Coturnix japonica: one gene and its partners. Each later gene encodes a partner of the first gene's protein in a complex. Links are inferred from orthologs where the notes say so. Each region holds a gene or a part of one and is shown in the gene's direction. Other genes may lie near its edges.

Region 1 (5,047 bases):
GACTGCCTGGTGCGTTCCAAGGGTGCCCTTGCTATTGCTGATGCTCTTAAAGAAGGACTTCATAAATTAAAGGTACTGCCTTCTGCTGTTCAGCTTTGAGTTTCTTTTGAAAATGACTTGTTTTCTGTCTTCATGTCCTTTCTCCTATTGATACTGATTACTTTAAGGTGGTTTTCACCTCAATAGCTATATGCCTGTAACTGAAAGTGAGTTGTAGATTAGTGACGTCGCCACATCCACAGGGGGCTATTCTGTGTGAAGGTGTACCAGTAATGTGATTAGGCTCCGCTTCATGTTTTTTAAGCAGCTGGTTCAGCTTAGCGATTGCTCTTCAGAAAGTCTGATAATGAAAGTATCTGCTTTTAGAACCTCTGAGAGTCATGAGAGCAGACTGAGATATCCCTCTTCCCAAGTATCTTGTCACCTCTGCATCATTTCAGCATTCATACAGTTGTTGTCTTTTCTTGTTTTGGGGATGTATCAAGGGATCAAGTAGTTTTTTTTTCTTGGCAGTCCCATCACTTCCTGTATCAATATTTAAACTTCACTGGCATTGGACTTAGACCTGTCTGAAATATTGTCAAATCAGTAAAATAAGTAAACTAGAATCTCTAGAAACACCTGTCCAGGGTCACAGCTGCACTGGGATAGATGCTGAACACCATTTCTATTCTTGGAAGCTTATAGACAAAGCCAGAAATCCAGCAGAGTGCTAATGTTTATCTGTGTGTATGCATCTGGTACAGAATTTGTCTCACTTGTTGTGAGATCCATTGTTCAAACTTCTACTGCTTCCACCAGAATTTATTCCTGAGTTTCCCAGATAAACTGAAGTAAGAATTCTAATGGGACTATCTGTGCTAGCAGTTGGAAATTAAACCCTTTTCTCTTCCGGAGCAGAAATGGTTAAGGGAGAGTAGTATGAAGCAATAGTAGCTGATTCATTGTGTTCAAGAATGACTTCCCTTCTGTTGTTAATATTAAATCTCAGTGACAGGATTGGCAGAACGTGATGTGAAATGGTGGGGGATGGTATAGTTTGCCTTTAGAAGGCTTTAACTTGAAGTGTAAATATTAAAAGGCAAATGTGCATTCCATTCACTATAGCAGCTACCCTTCCTCAGTAAGATTTGGTGTGCGAGTTCTGACCTGGTCATGTGACTGGCAGCTGGGCTCTGCTGGTGTACAGTCTGCTTAGAAACTAAAATCTTCAGTTTTTGGAAGAAGGTGACACAAAAGGACTGTCCCTGCTACCCCAGCAGGCTGGACGTGCTGCTGAATCCCAGGGCAATGTGACAAGATGAGAGGAAATTAAGGAGCTAATGCTCCTTTCTGCCTTGAAGTGGTTCCAGAATTCCTCCTGTTGATTCTTTAAGGGATGCCTCTTGAGTAGGTGAAGCTGATTGTTAAGGGCTGAAACAGATGCTACCTTTTAAGTGAGCAGTCATAATAATGTGGTCTTTGTGGCTGTTTCACTTAAGTGGTTGCTTTTAATGATGGTATGTTTCAAAATATTTTTAAGTGAGATAGAGAGATGTCACTTTACCAATTAAAAATCTGTTTTTGTGAAGAACCTTTTCAAATGAGAATCTTTCCAGAAAGTTAGTGAGCGTGTGAAGTTTGTGGGGATGATGGACATTATGGGAATTATGTAAACAAAGGGTTTTTTGCTTCTTAGGAACTGAATTTGTCCTTCTGTGAGATCAAACGAGATGCTGCCCTGTCTGTAGCTGAAGCTATTGAAGATAAGGTAGAGCTGGAGAAACTGGATCTCAATGGTAAGTAAACTTGGTAGGTAAAAGTCTGATCCCAGCTAGAAACTGCTAGGAAGAGTGGTTACAGTATCACCTGTGCTAGGATTACAATTTCTAGCATTTAGGAAATGGTTATGGGGGAGTAGCTGAATTTGGGTGATGCTGGGACAGGAAGTGGTTAGATTCTGAAAGCAGTCTTAAACCGTGGACTCAGCCAGTTGTTAGAGTCAGTAGCTTCAGCTTAAACAGCTGTTTGATTCTGCATCGCTGCCTCCAAGGCTTGATGTAGAAATTACTGATGTTATTTTTTAATTTGTACAGATATAGATAAAAATCTATAACAGTGTTCCCAAGAACAAGCTTGTGTGCATCTTCTAAATGTGTTCCCTTCTCCCCTGAATCCAGGTAACTGCCTGGGAGAAGAGGGATGTGAGCAACTGCAGGAGATTCTTGAAGGCTTCAATATGGCAACTGTGCTGGGATCGTTGAGGTAGGCAGGGCACCACAATTTAAATGAGAAGTTTTCTACCAATTTTTATCAACGCTTACTTTGTTTAATGTAAGAACTGTAACGCTGCAGCTGGATGTTGGTCTGAGTGTGCTGTGGAGTGCTGTGAAGGGATTCTGTAAGCAGAATAAGCCTTGTACCTCATTTTTGTTGATGGAATTAACTTGGCTTCAGTTACTGACTATGTTCCAGGCTCTTTGCTTACCACTGTCAACTGGATGACTGAAGTCTCAAGGGGTCTCATAGTGTTCTGTAGATGAAGGTGTATTTCTAACACTAAGTCTTGAGAGGCTGCTTTTTTGTTCTTGGAAAAATTGAATAACAGTATATTGGAGTGGCAAGTATGTAATTAATGTAATATGTGAACTGTCCAACTTCAGTGATGATGAAGGGGAAGAGGAAGAAGAAGAGGAGGAGGAGGAGGAGGAGGAAGAAGAAGAGGAAGAAGAAGAGGAGGAGGAAGAGGAACAGCTGAAGGAAAGAGGACAGGGAGAACAGGACTCAATGACTGCTAAGATAATTGGTGCACAGGTAAGTTTAGTTCTGGATGCATTTGTTTCCTTACTGGAGAAGAGCTAAGGAGGAAACAAGATTTAGAGTGAGTTTGCAGTGCTGGCAGGAGTTCACATTCCTGCGTGGATTGGCTCTTTGGTAATGGGCAGGAAGACAGCGTGCGGAAGATAAAGAAAATGGGTGACTTGGCAACCTGCTTTGTTAAAGGGTGCATGTGCACACATGTATAGTGGTAAAAGCTGAACAGCCATTGTGATAGACATGGGTAGAAAAAGTCTTCCCATCTTTGGAGTATGGTAAGAACCTTGCATGTGCACTGCCATGCAGTCACGCTAGCTATTGTGTCTGTTTTAACTCCAGCCTCATTCCAGCCTTAAACAGTTTACAAGTAGAACAAATTCTCACCTGATGTGCCTTTGCAAGTCAGACCTATATGCCTTTGCTGTACCAATTTATTTGTTTTTAAGAGTAAACTTGAGGTGGATTCTGCCTGTTTCAGGATTCAACTCCAGCGCCATCTCCTCCTGTGGATGTTGCCACATTCCTTGCTTTCCCATCACCAGAGAAGCTGCTGCGGCTAGGGCCAAAGTGTTCTGTGCTGATAGCTCAGCAGGTAGGTGAACCAGTGGTTTGCTGCACTTGAATCTCTCTCAGGATCATTAATCCCCAGAAGTGGTAGCTTTCTCTCCAGTCCTAGACTTGCTTCTTCTTCCTGGTGACTCTGAGTAACCTCATAGAAGCAGATGGTGCATTTAATACTTAAACTGGCACCCTAGATGTTTTACACAGAATAACGTTGTTTCTTATGTCTTGTAATGTGACCAAGGCAAAACTGATGTCAGTCAGCTGGAGGCTGTATTTCTTGCCTTGGCAGAGATCCATCTTCTTTATTTGGCTACCACTTAACTTTTTTTTTCCTTGCCTTTCAGACAGATACATCTGATGTAGAGAAAGTAGTTACAGCTCTCTTAAGGATATCTTCAGTCTTCAAAGATGAAGCCCCAGTAAAAACAGCAGTGCATGAAACAACAGGTGACTGGACCTTTCTTCACCTAAGGGTGCAATGCAATGCAAAGCAAAGGAAGGCCTCTGTAGGCTGGGTATTTGATTGGTTGACTCTGGTAGCAAGAAACCCCAGATTACAAAGTACCAGGCTGTGCCATGCTGTCGTGTGGAGTTGAAGTAAAGGCTTGTTCTAAATCATAGAATCACTCAGGTCGGGAAAGACCTTAATAATCATCGAGTCCATCCATGACCTAACCATACTACCCTATCTAACAGCCCTCCACTAAATCATGTCCCTGAGCACCACACCCAAACAGTTTTTAAACACATCCAAGGATGGTGACAACCACCTCCCATTCCAGTGCTTAACAACCCTTTCTATAAAGAAGTTTTTCCTGATATTCAATCTAAACTTACCCTGGTGCAACCTGAGGCCATTTCCCCTCATCCTGTCACCAATAAGAAGAGATTTGCCCTGCTCTCACTTTAAGTACCTTTCAGATATTGGAAGAGAGCAATAAGGTCTCCCCTCAGTGTCTTTTTCCCCAGACTAAACAGCCCCAGTTCCCTCAGCCTCTCCTCATTTAGCACATTCTCCAAACCTTTCACAAGCCTTGTTGCCCTTCTTTGGACCTGCTCCAGCATCTCAATGTCCTTTTTTTGTACTGAGGTGCCCAAAACTGAACACAGTACCTCAAGGTAAGGCCTCATCAATGCTGAGTACAGGCACCAGATGACTTCCCTAGTCCTACTCACCACAAAAAATGGAGAGCAGGATGTATGTGTTTCCTTAAGCGCGCTTGTGCATGTATTGCTTTGTTAGCTCTTCCTTACTACCCTTGCTCTGTAGGGAAAAGTAGTACCTAGTAATTGCTTTCCTTCTAGAAGAGTAACTAGGAGTTGATGAAGTCCCTAGTTAAGGATCCACACTGCTCTACAGCCATTGTAGTGGGTTGTTCACTCCAAGAAACTAGAACAGTCAGAAGTCAAGATGGTGCCTTCTCTACCTTGTAGACAAGAAGGGATAAAGCACTGGTTTGCCCACAGCTAGCTGCAAGATATTGATCCCAAGGAAGCATGGGGAACAACTGAACAAAGGAATGAGAAAAGAGTGAGGACTTGGCTTCAAAAGAAAGGTGAAATCTTGCTGGCCTTTACATTTCAAGCCTTTAAGTCTTGCTGTTCTACTTCAACTAATGATGTTTTTATGTGTATACGCACAAGTGCTTGCAAGCTCAAATGCATTGAGTAGAACATCTCATGGTGC
Region 2 (5,645 bases), on another chromosome or scaffold:
CACACAGGCTAAATAAATTGTGCTGCCTGAAGTTATTTGGGATAGAAAAAACACATTAGAGGGACTGCAAATACCAGATTCGCAGCTGTCCCTGCGCACCACAGCTTTACACACACACTCCCATGTTATTCATAGAACTGAATGGCGTATAAGGAAGCACTTTTCAGGACACTGTAAATCTTTATGGTTGCCTGTCCCAAGTAACTCATTACCTTTGTTAAACAAGTAACCTTTAACTCGTAAAAAACACTACTTAAAGCAATTTTAAGTTGTTTGGTTTATATGGTCTGGACAAAAAGGAGACTCTGAGTTATCTCCTTGCTCCCTATAATTGACCTGCAATAGTTTCTTCAGACCACATCAGTGTTTCAAGAGATTCTTTCAGAGCATCAAGATCGCTGCTTTTCTGACAGCCAAGGAGATGTACCAGACAGCTGGCAGGTCCAGCACCACATTAGCACCTAAAGAAGGCTTAATTTTCCCTAGTTGGAAAGCAGAGGACCTGCAGGCAATAGTAACTGCATACCTGTAACAGTTTCTTTCTCCAGCAAGTACTTTAACAGTGTTTAAGCACCAAACACAGTGTATCAATGAGAACATCAAAAAGCTACAATGTTATACCTTGACAAACCAGGAGCACTAGGACAGTGGTTAGGGCCTGGAACAGGCTGCCCAGGGAGGTTGTGGATGCCCCGTCCTTGGAGGTGTTCAAGGCCAGGTTGGACGGGGCCATGGGCAACCTGATCTATGGGGTCTCTATGGGGATCTATGGGGTCTCTATGGGGATCTATGGGGTCTCTATGGGGGTCTATGGGGTCTCTATGGGGATCTATGGGGTCTCCTGGGCAACCTGATGTAGTAAATGTGTATGTTTGGTGGCCCTGCCAGGCAGAGGGGTTGGAACTACATGATCCTTGAGGTCCCTTCCAACCCGGCTCATTCTGTGAGCACTGACAAGTAACATTTTTCCCTCTTGGTATAGAGGACTCACAGAAGCCATGACTATTTCTAACAGCACACAAACTCCAGTTTCTATTTCCTCCGAAACGAATAGCACACAACCAAAAAAGGAGACTACATGCAACATACACCATTGCTATTTATTCCCAGATTAGGAAAATTAAAAAAAAAAACCATGCGGGAAATCTTCCATTTCAACCATACCACATCCTATGGATGAGAAGCATCAGCTCAGCTCCTTTTCTTTCTCAGAACACCGTTTCCAGAAAGCGAATGAAGGGGAAGGAAGGGAACGGATAAACACGCCACTCCTGTGGTGGTGCCGCCTCAGCTGCCCGGGCCTCGCGCCCCTCCCCGACCGTTACAACCATAGCGGCCCCACAGCTCTCACCTCAGCCAGGTCAGCCAGCCGGTCCTTCATCCCCTCAGCTCCTCAGCTCCGCTCGTTCCTCACACAGCCCCGTTCCAACGACCGCCGTATCCGCCGCCGCCCCGCTCAGGCCGGGCCCAGCGCTCGGCCCCCCCCCCCACACACACACGACGTCACGACGAACCGGAGCCCGCACCGCAGTGCGCATGCGCCAACCGAGCCCCGGGGTGACACCGGGAAGCGCGCCTTGGATCTGCTGACGTCACCATGCTGGGCGGGAAGGGAGCTGCGCATGCGCGGGGCTGCGGCGGGAGGAGAATGGGCGGGAAAGGGCGCGGGAGCGCGGGGAGTCCAATAGAGACATGGGGTGGTACCGGTGTGGTTCAGATGTGGTCCCAGTGTGGATCAGGTTGCCCAGGAGACCCCATAGAGACCCCATAGAGACCCCATAGATCCCCATAGACCCCATAGAGACCCCATAGACCCCATAGAGACCCATAGAGACCCCATAGACCCTATAGAGACCCCATAGAGACCCCATAGATCAGGTTGCCCATGGCCCCGTCCAACCTGGCCTTGAACATCTCCAAGGACGGGGCATCCACAACCTCCCTGGGCAGCCTGTTCCAGGGCCTGACCTACCTTTAGTACCATCCCTTGTGGTCTATGAGATAAGCAAACTACAGCACAGTGCCGTGCCTCCTCTGCGTTTTCTTTCTGTATTTCCACTAAATGCATCTTTGCTCTTTGGAAGAGCTTATCAACAACTTTTTTTTCCACTATAACCTGAATGTGAGCGCTTAGGGAAGCGCTATGATGCAGCGTGGAGCCACATAGGGCTATGTCCTATATCTCTATGTCCTTTAGCAGGAGCATTGTGCCCCACTAAAGAGACATAGACACGAGGTGCCGGATCAGAACCAACACAGACACGGGCAGAACCGAACCGGGCCCAGCCCAAGTCCCAGCTCCGCCCGCTCACGTGACCCCAGCCCCTCCCCCTCCCCGCTGCCGCGCGGCGTCGCTGTCCGGGTATTTGAACCGCGCTTCCGCCATCTTCCCAGCGCCCAGTCACGGCACGGAGCGACGCGGTTAGAAGCCCCGGGAGAGGTAATAGGGATGGGATGGGGTTGGGATGGGGTTCTGTTCCCTTTAGGGCCGGGTTATGGGGATGTGAGGCTGCTGTGAGGTGGGTGGACGGTGTTATAACCGCCGGGTTGGGTTGTGTTGAGGCCGGGCCCGCGTGAGCGCCGTGCCTGCGTGGCGGCCTGTCCTTGTGGCCCTTATTGGAGCCGTGTGGGGTGAGAGCGGAGCCCGGCTCATCGCTGAGGTAACAGCGGGCGGTGTGTGGGATGGGAATCATGGCAGCGGGGCCTCCAACGGTCCGGGCGGCTGTTGGGGGGGGGGGGGAGGGGAGGCGGCGCTGCTCAGTCATGGTGGGATGGGGATGGGGGCTGCGACCGGCCCGCACCACCCGATGAGGTGTTTGGAACGGGATGTGCTGCTGTGTTTCATATATAAAGGCCGGAGCCGCCTTTTTAATAGTCAGGCCGCGGCTCGGCCCCGTTTATCGTAGCGTGGAAGCCCCAGGGGCGCGGTGGTGGCGGCGGCGGCTCTTCCGTTACGGGCCCCGGGGGTGGGCGGGGAGCTGCCGCCGCCATTACCGCGCGCTGCCGCCTCGTATGGGGCGGTGATGGCGAACCGGGACCAGGGCCGGGTGGGGAGCATCGGCCCGGGCCGAACTTGGGGCCTTTGCAGCGGCTGCCGATGGTTGAAACGCGGAGCACGCGGCCCGGGAGGCGGTTTGGAAGCCGAGAAGCTCGGCCGGCCCCTTCCGGCGGGGCCTTGAAGCAGCTCGGCTCATTGAGCTCACACATGCTTCCATTTCCCCCTGCAGACCCAGCATGGCCGCCCAAGGAGAGCCCCAAGTGCAGTTTAAGGTAAAGGATCCTTTCTATTTTTCCTCTCCTTCCATAGAAAAGTAGCAAGAAGAACTTCCAAGAAGTGCCGTGGATGGTGGATTTGGTTTTAAAGTGCTGACTTCATCGATGTGTTGAGCTGATCACGTACTGCATTGCCTCACAACAGCATTCTATTGTCCTATCAATCTGGTGCTATTTGCTGCTTTACCAAAAAAATAACTTCACATAAAAACACCACTTAAAACGTGGTGACTTCATGGAGTGATATTCACAGCAACGAACAAAGAGTGCTAAAAGTGACTTAGAGCAACTTGTTTTATGCCACATCAACTACTGGGGTGGAACATAATGGAGCAGAGCTGTTACCTTAACAGCCAGAAGTCTTATGGCTGCTGCATTGATTGATGCTTGTTTTTTTTACACTGTTCATCTAATATATCCCAATTGTTAGTAACACAGGTTTTCTTTTTTTCCAATTGCAAGATTACAGTTCTTTTCTCCAGCAATTCAGATGCTTGTATTTTATTATAACACATCTTTAGCACAATGTGTTCTAGTTCTCAGTTACAGGGACTAGTTAAGTTTGGACAGGACTTATAGAATGACTCGTTTAACAAATTAAAACCCAACATAGAAAGTTACTTCATTGGGAATTTTAGTGTTTTCTTCACGGTATTTTGTAAGACAAACTATGTCGCTCTGACCTTCTTTACTTAAATGTATTAACAGCTTGTCCTGGTCGGTGATGGTGGCACCGGTAAAACAACATTTGTAAAACGTCATTTGACTGGTGAATTTGAGAAGAAATATGTAGGTATGTCTGAAGAAATACTCAAGATCTTGTGTGTTACTATCGAAAGTATAATTGACAACTTGCTGACTGTTCTTTCCTATTACTGTAGCAACATTGGGTGTTGAAGTTCATCCTCTGGTATTCCATACTAATAGAGGCCCTATTAAATTTAATGTATGGGACACAGCTGGCCAGGAGAAATTTGGTGGTCTGCGAGATGGCTATTACATCCAAGGTAAGATGTGCTCATATGTAGTTATGTCCTGTGTTCTGTTCAGTTTGGCCACTCTGAGAGCTTTTAACATGGCTTACACTGGTGAGCTCCCTTATGAGTGTTGGAACTTTGTATAAATATAGTCAGATCTGTTTCCGTACTAAAACTTAGTTTCAGTCTGTGAAACCCATTGCTGTGGGCTTTGATTTTACTGAAGAGTAACTGTGCACCTTCAGTGATAGTACTCATGAAATTAAGTGGTTAAGAGGTAAGTATGCGTAAGTGAGTAAAAATTACCTGTATTGGTATCCTGTGCTGCTGCAAAGACTTGGAAGAAACATACTATAAAACATAAAATAGTATAAAGAAGTTCTACATGTCCTTGGCTGAGGCTAATGGCCTTTCTAAAGGTGTAGTAATAGAGCTTGACCTTGAAGATAAGGGACTGTTCTGTGAGTACTTCAGTCACCCATGTACCTTTTAACATTCTGCAAGACAGGTTTAGAGCCTGACTTTTCCTTTAGAAGTATCAGAATCAAGTGTTCTTTGGCAAGCTGTTCTGGACAGGGGCATTCTGAGATGTGAACTACAAGCTCTCCACTTATCTGAAAGCCTCAATAGGCTGAGATTAGTTCAGTAGCATTAAGACATTTTTCTCAGGTATTAAGGTGAACTAAAATTCTTTTGTAATCATTGTGTAGTCTGTGCCATGCAACATTAGAATTGTCGCATGATGCTGCATGAATAGAAGCAGCTGGCATTTAGAGTTAAGCACCAAACATATGACAGGGTCATGGGCTGAGTTCTGTGGACTCCTGCACAGTGATTATCTTGCACTTTGATCTGGTAAATGGCATGTTCTCAACTGTGAGACTGAAGAGAAACCTAATGCTGGCACCCCTAATAACTGATTATTGTGGGTACTCTTTCCCACTCCAGTTTATAAGAAAGTGGTTACCTGCCTGATGTAATTGTTTGGTTTTTTTTACAGCTCAATGTGCCATTATAATGTTTGATGTAACATCAAGAGTTACTTACAAGAATGTACCCAACTGGCATAGAGACCTGGTACGGGTATGTGAAAACATCCCTATAGTGTTGTGTGGCAACAAAGTGGATATTAAGGACAGAAAAGTCAAGGCAAAATCCATTGTCTTCCACAGGAAGAAGAATCTTCAGGTATGATGGCGTGAGTTCACAGGATTAGAGATACATTAAGTCTGTTAACTACATTTGAGTGCTATTCAGTCCTTCAGTGTTGGGAATAAGATGAAATTAGACCAAGTCACAGGAAAAAGAGGCACTATTGCATCCTGAAATCACCTTTGAGCAAATCACCTTTAAGCACCTTATGTTTAAGAGTATCAATTTCTGCCTATTGGCCTG
Region 3 (5,495 bases), on another chromosome or scaffold:
ACAGATAATGTGTATTATTCTTTATATACCTAAAATTACTCACCATTCTATAGCATACAGAGCAGTGAATTACACTGTTTCCACACTGACACTGTTAAAAGGCGAGGACTTTGGGTAACACACTATCAGTGACCCCAGGTTCTGCAATCAATGCACTCACTACCGGGATCAGGGATGGGACACAGGTAAGCCCTGTGTATTTCAATGCCCACTAACAGGATTCTGGATCTACGTGCACCAAATGCCATCATTTTGAGTCACTACACATCAGTGTACTGAGGAATAAGCTCAGAGGCATAGTAAAGAACTAAGTCATGAAGTTAACCATCAGATTAAATTACAGGGATTGAGAAATGCAACTGTTGTAAAACTGACCTGCAAAGACAATGGATGTGTTACGATATATAACCTCCTGCAGGTATGTCTATTATTATCATCTTTCCCTTGTATTAAACTCTGCAAGAGGGCACCTGCTTCAATCAAACACACAGAATAACGGCCTGCCTAGTCCTGGTGAGGGTAGGGACTGCACTCTATGGCTCAGGACAGTCTCAACTATATGTGACACAGATCTGTGCAGGTTTATTTGGAGGCTGGATGAGTCCCACAGTCACACAGACCCCACTGTCTCACAATTCCTAGTTCACAGCACATTATCTCTTGGCCTCAGTGCAAGAGAGGCAACTTCTACCTGCAGATCTGACAGCACACAGAACCAGCAGGAGCATTGCAGACGAGTCCTGGCTCTGCAGGACTAAGCTGACAAAAGAGTTTTTCCAACACAGGAATGCAAACAAACTCCCTGCGCCCCCTCCAGCTCTTTGCTGCAGAATGTGGCTAAACCTTGAGCACTGGGAGGAAGGGAAAGCAACCACAGCAGCATTTCTCAGCTGCAGGCTGTGCACAGTGCTGCCGTGCCCTCTGCCGGGCCGGTCTGCCTGTCAGACCACCCTTCCCATACATGCCCTCACCGCTCTGCTTACACACCTGCCTGTGTCCTCACAGCTTGGCTGCCACATCCAGCTTGGTCTGAGGTCACTGCCATCTCTTCTGGCCAACTGAAACAGACAAGGAGCAGTTAAGAAATGAGGAAGGTCGCTTCATTAAAACACAACACCCTGCAGGCACAGGAAACCAGCAGGACCTCCTGTGACAAACACAGCCCATGAAATGCCAGCTCTGCTCTGGGCTCTTGAATTGAGTCAGTTTGCTCCACAGCTTCCTGGCTTGCAATATACCGACCCCTGAACAAGCACTGGATGCTGTGGGAACAGATGGTTTATAGTAAGCAGGCAGCAATCACAGAATCACAGAATTGTCAAGGTTGGAAAAGACCTAGAAGATCATATAGTCCAACCATTCCCAATAGAATCACAGAATCACAGAATGTCCCGGGTTGGAAGGGACCTCAAGGATCATGTAGTTCCAACCCCCCTGCCTGGCAGGGCCACCAAACATACACCTTTACTAGATCAGGTTGCCCAGGGCCCCGTCCAACCTGGTCTTGAACACCTCCAAGGACGGGGCATCCACAACCTCCCTGGGCAGCCTGTTCCAGGGCCTAACCACTCTCCTAGTGAAGAACTTCCCCATAACATCCAACCTAAATCTTCCCTCTTTTAACTTAAAGCCATTTCCCCGTGTCCTGCTATTGTCAGCCCTTTCCAAGAGTTGACTCCCCTCCTGGCAGTAAGTTCCCTTCAGGTATTGAAAGGCTGCAATACTTCCCGGCTAAATCATATTCCTCAACACCACACCCCAGAACACCCAAATGCAGCAGCCCTTGGGCTGAGCCTCTAACCAGCTCATGTTAGAGACCAAGCACAGCCTCCCTGCACTAGAGGGGCAAGAGAGCTGATTCTGCACACATTACCCGGCACAAAGCTCTAAATAAACCCAGCAGCCCCGTGAGCAGGCTGAGCATTAGGTAACACTTGTGTTAACCTCAAACTGGGCTAATCTGGAGCACCACCACAGGCCGAGCACACAACAGGCCTCACAGCAGCCACACAACGCGCATGCGCACCCCCAATAGCGGCCTCTTCGTCCAACCGGGAGCGCGCGCGGGGGCTACGTGCGCGCCGCCGCCGCCGGGAGCGAGACACGTGCACGCGCACCTCTTGCCGCGAGTCTGCGCCTGCGCGCCGTCGCGCGAGACAGACGCAGTTCCGGCGGCGCCGGCCGGTCCGTTGGCCGCCCATGTCCCCCTATGTACCAATGGCTGCTGGCGGCTGTCGGCAGTCTCTTCGCCGCCGCGCGCCGCTCCGCGCCACCCCCGGCCCCGCGCAAACGGCCGTTCCTCAGGTCAGCGCTCCGCCGCGTGTCCCTCCGCGCTGCGCCCGGCCCGCAGCCGGCACGGGATGTGGGGCCCACAGAGCGTGCCGCCCATCGGCACTGAGGGAGCGGCCTGGGCAGCTGGGTGATGGCAGGAGCCCGGCCATGTACCTAAAGCACCGAGCACAGCACCCCGCTGCTGCACGGACACAGCGGATCGGCTGCCCCTATCAGGGACATGCTCCGGGCCCTGAACTGCCCTCCCTTGGCTCTATGCAGCGCTCCCCTGTCTGTCTGGCCTCCCTCAGCCCGCTGGGCACACGGGGTCCCATAGGCCTTACTGGCCACTCAAGTCCTTCTCTAAACAGCTCCTTTCCAGCATGTTTACACTGATATGTTTGGCTATTCCAGCCCATGTGTAGGGCTCTGTGTGTGACACAGCAAGAGACGTGAACTGAGAAGTATGAAACTTCAGTTTCATACAAAAATGAAAGGGAAAAAAAAGCTCCTGTGGTGGTGTCGGAGCTGTGGAGTGGGTGGTGTGGTTTCCTTTGGAGATACTCAAGACCCTGAGCTCTTTTGTACCATAGGGAACCTGCTTTAACAGGTGGTTGGGCTGCATGATTCCAAAGGGGCCTCCCAGCTTCTACAACTCAGTGCAAAGTGAAAGGAAAGGCAATGCTTTTGATGGCACGCAGCAGAGCCATCCCTGCCCCATCCCTCTTCCCAAAGGGAGAGCAGCACGGGCTGCTTGCCACACTTTGGGCACTCAGCTTTGCTGGGAGATGGCTGCAAATGAGGGGAGCAAATAGGGTGGAACTGCTGAAGTGGCTTCAAGAGCCGTGCTGTTGGGAATAAGGTCTGAAATGCTGCTTGTCTCTAAAATGGCAAAGGTGTTCTCAGCTCCTTGTCTGAGGCTCTACAAGAAAATCATCACAGAATGGCTTGGGTTGAAGAGGACCACAGTGATCATCTAGTTTTAACCCCCTGCTGTGTGCAGGGTCACCAACCAGCAGACCAGGCTGCACAGAGCCACATCCATCCTGGCCTTGAATGCCTGCAGGGATGGGGCATCCACAGCCTCAGTTCTCCACGAGTGCTGTTTATCAGTCAAAATGCAGGTGAATGGGACAGCGTGGCCAGCTGAAGTTTTGGGTGCAGAGATGTCCTGAGCACACCCCATTCCCAATGTAAAGTGGCAGTGAAGTTACACAGAAGTTGCCTTTTACGTCATGTCTGCTACTTGGGCAGAAAGGTTGTCTCCCACAACAGAGAGAGGAAAAAATATGGATCTCAACGGTGAAAGTAATGGGGAAAGTGGGTAAAATGTCCAATTTTTACAGCTTCAAATGGTAAACTATCACAAAGTGCCCACAGCAGCGCTGCAGGAGGAGGTTTGGATGAGGAGAGATGCCCACACCTGGGTGTGTGTACGCAGAAATAGTGGGGTTTTGTGACACCTTGCTTACACACCCCCCCCCCCCCCCACCTTTACAGTTGGGGGGGAATAGAATGTTTGGCTGTTGCCACGGTTTCGAGGGGTAGTTGGGCCCATCGTGGTGTGCAGGGCAGACGCACATCTGCCTCCTGCAGCGTCTTTTCCACCTTTTTGCGCCTACTGCTCAACAACCTTTGGCTTTTGCTTCACCTGGAGCCTTAGAGGAGCCCCTGCTACAGGGGCAGTGCTCGGACTCTTCGTGAGTTGCGCTTTCCAGCTACAGACTTGTAGCTGAGCTTTTTTTCCTCTCACTCCTACCCGGAGTGAGAAATATTGAAGACATAGAAGGTTTTTCTAGCCTTTTTCGGAGTCGTTGACAGCAAGCTAATCCAGCTATGCCTCCAAAACCCAAGCCGACTAAGTGTAAACGGAAAAAACGACATTGTAACAGGTACCGGGTGCTGTATTGGAGCTGGGGGAGGGAGGCACTTGTCTTTTAAAGCTGCTGGTGGTAACATAGCCGGGTGTTTAAGCTGCTCTTAGCCCTGAGTGCAGCCCTGGGGAGGGTGTGTATGGCTGCGTCCGGGCAGAGGTTGAAGCTGGGAGCCTTCTACTGAAGGTGTAGCTGGTGCTACAAAAATGGATGGGAAGACAAATTTGTTATTGTTTTCTTCTTAATTTAGCCTGCTGAAATATTAAATAAGTTGAGTAGGAGTGTGTCTTTTCGGGTATTATTTGTGTTTATCATTTATTCCTTGGTATTTTCTGCCTGATGTTAATAGCGCCGTAATGACCAATGTCATCTGTGTTACATCAAATGTAGAGTTAAGAAGTTGTTTATCCTCTGTGTTACATTAAATGTAGAGTTAAGAAGTTGTTTTTCCTCTGTGTTACGTTAAATGTAGAGTTAAGAAGTTGTTTATCCTCTGTGTTACATCAAATGTAGAGTTAAGTTGTTTATCCTCTGTGTTACATTAAATGTAGAGTTAAGTTGTTTATCCTCTGTGTTACATTAAATGTAGAGTTAAGAAGTTGTTTTTTTGTCTTCCTGATGTGGAGGGATGTCAGTCCAGAGGGGGGAGATGAGCAGGGCTGGGATATGTAACAGTTAGAATCAGTTAGAATCAGTTAGAATCCGGTTTGATCACAGAGGACCAAAGGGTCCCTGCTATGCAGGGAGGGGGGGCAGGACAGAAACATCACATTACATTTATGGAAACAAATAGGAAAATAAAAAAAACATATAGAAATAAGCTGTCTATTCCCAACGTTAATAAATAGATTTCTAGACTTTATCTTTGTGCCAACTGATGCAGTACTTCAGCTACCACTTAGTAAGGAGGGGTGCAGTTGAGAGTGATTGCAATGAGTGGTTTGCAAGCACTGATTTAGCAGTGAGTTATTTATGTGGGTGTACACACGTTGCTTTCCCATCTTATATTTCCTGTCCTACTTAGGCTTTTTTTTTCCCCTCTGCAGCTCATTGTAGTGAACTCACATGGCTTAGTAATCATTGGCGTATTTCTTTCCTTGAGGAAAGAGGCAAAGCCCATGTATTAAGAGTTTTTGGTTGCTTGTAACAGTCAGAAAGTATATATTGAATGTTGGAGAAAGGGGCCTAATGCGGTTTTAGTGGGTGAATTAATTTTCCTGTGCGTGCTCTGCTGGATGGGAGACATCAGTGGGAGATGCTGCCACCTGTTTCTGTCTGGGCTGATCCTAGAGGTGCTTGGAGGGGAGAGCTCTGGGGTAGGAGGATTAGTTTGGGTCCTGTGCAGGGAAA

What was found.
Region 2: the proteins of RANGAP1 (region 1) and RAN are in contact, whole or in part, in a cryo-EM structure (PDB 9B62), measured with the Homo sapiens proteins. The link is inferred for Coturnix japonica from reciprocal best matches to the Homo sapiens genes RANGAP1 and RAN. Residues at the interface, in NP_001265580.1 of Homo sapiens: Ser29, Gly58, Asn59, Thr60, Asp86, Thr89, Gly90, Arg91, Leu92, Arg93, Ile96, Asp121, Ala123, Phe124, Gly125, Asp127, Asn151, Cys152, Gly153, Met154, Gly155, Arg189, Asn190, Arg191, Gln217, Asn244, Asp245, Asn246, Thr247, Asp273; in NP_006316.1 of Homo sapiens: Asp18, Gly20, Tyr39, Val40, Ala41, Thr42, Leu43, Gly44, Val45, Glu46, Glu70, Lys71, Leu75, Arg76, Tyr79, Asp91, Thr93, Ser94, Arg95, Val96, Thr97, Asn100, Lys123, Asp128, Arg129, Lys130, Lys132, Lys134.
Region 3: the proteins of RANGAP1 (region 1) and SENP2 are in contact, whole or in part, in a crystal structure (PDB 2IO3), measured with the Homo sapiens proteins. The link is inferred for Coturnix japonica from reciprocal best matches to the Homo sapiens genes RANGAP1 and SENP2. Residues at the interface, in NP_001265580.1 of Homo sapiens: Glu467, Asn508, Thr511, Thr514, Arg515, Val518, His519, Leu523, Lys524, Ser525, Glu526, Asp527, Val529; in NP_067640.2 of Homo sapiens: Tyr408, His409, Trp410, Val477, His478, Asp495, Met497, Gly498, Gln499, Lys500, Pro536, His537, Gln541, Gln542, Asn544, Gly545.

The regions. Positions count from the first base shown.
Region 1 is NC_029516.1:45,368,558-45,373,604, forward strand, and holds part of RANGAP1 (ran GTPase-activating protein 1), read left to right. Parts: coding exon 1-72; intron 73-1,678; coding exon 1,679-1,778; intron 1,779-2,159; coding exon 2,160-2,244; intron 2,245-2,642; coding exon 2,643-2,793; intron 2,794-3,274; coding exon 3,275-3,388; intron 3,389-3,704; coding exon 3,705-3,807; intron 3,808-5,047. UniProt on the Homo sapiens protein: GTPase activator for RAN. Converts cytoplasmic GTP-bound RAN to GDP-bound RAN, which is essential for RAN-mediated nuclear import and export. Mediates dissociation of cargo from nuclear export complexes containing XPO1, RAN and RANBP2 after nuclear export.
Region 2 is NC_029530.1:2,657,528-2,663,172, reverse strand, and holds the start of RAN (GTP-binding nuclear protein Ran), read left to right. Parts: upstream 1-2,309; 5' UTR 2,310-2,440; intron 2,441-3,227; 5' UTR 3,228-3,234; coding exon 3,235-3,270; intron 3,271-3,981; coding exon 3,982-4,066; intron 4,067-4,154; coding exon 4,155-4,280; intron 4,281-5,250; coding exon 5,251-5,438; intron 5,439-5,645. Other genes in the region: STX2 (syntaxin-2), read right to left, coding at 1,973-2,068. UniProt on the Homo sapiens protein: GTPase involved in nucleocytoplasmic transport, participating both to the import and the export from the nucleus of proteins and RNAs. Switches between a cytoplasmic GDP- and a nuclear GTP-bound state by nucleotide exchange and GTP hydrolysis.
Region 3 is NC_029524.1:3,365,743-3,371,237, reverse strand, and holds the start of SENP2 (sentrin-specific protease 2), read left to right. Parts: upstream 1-2,159; 5' UTR 2,160-2,209; coding exon 2,210-2,304; intron 2,305-3,816; exon of another isoform or gene 3,817-4,107; coding exon of another isoform or gene 4,108-4,163; intron 4,164-5,495. UniProt on the Homo sapiens protein: Protease that catalyzes two essential functions in the SUMO pathway.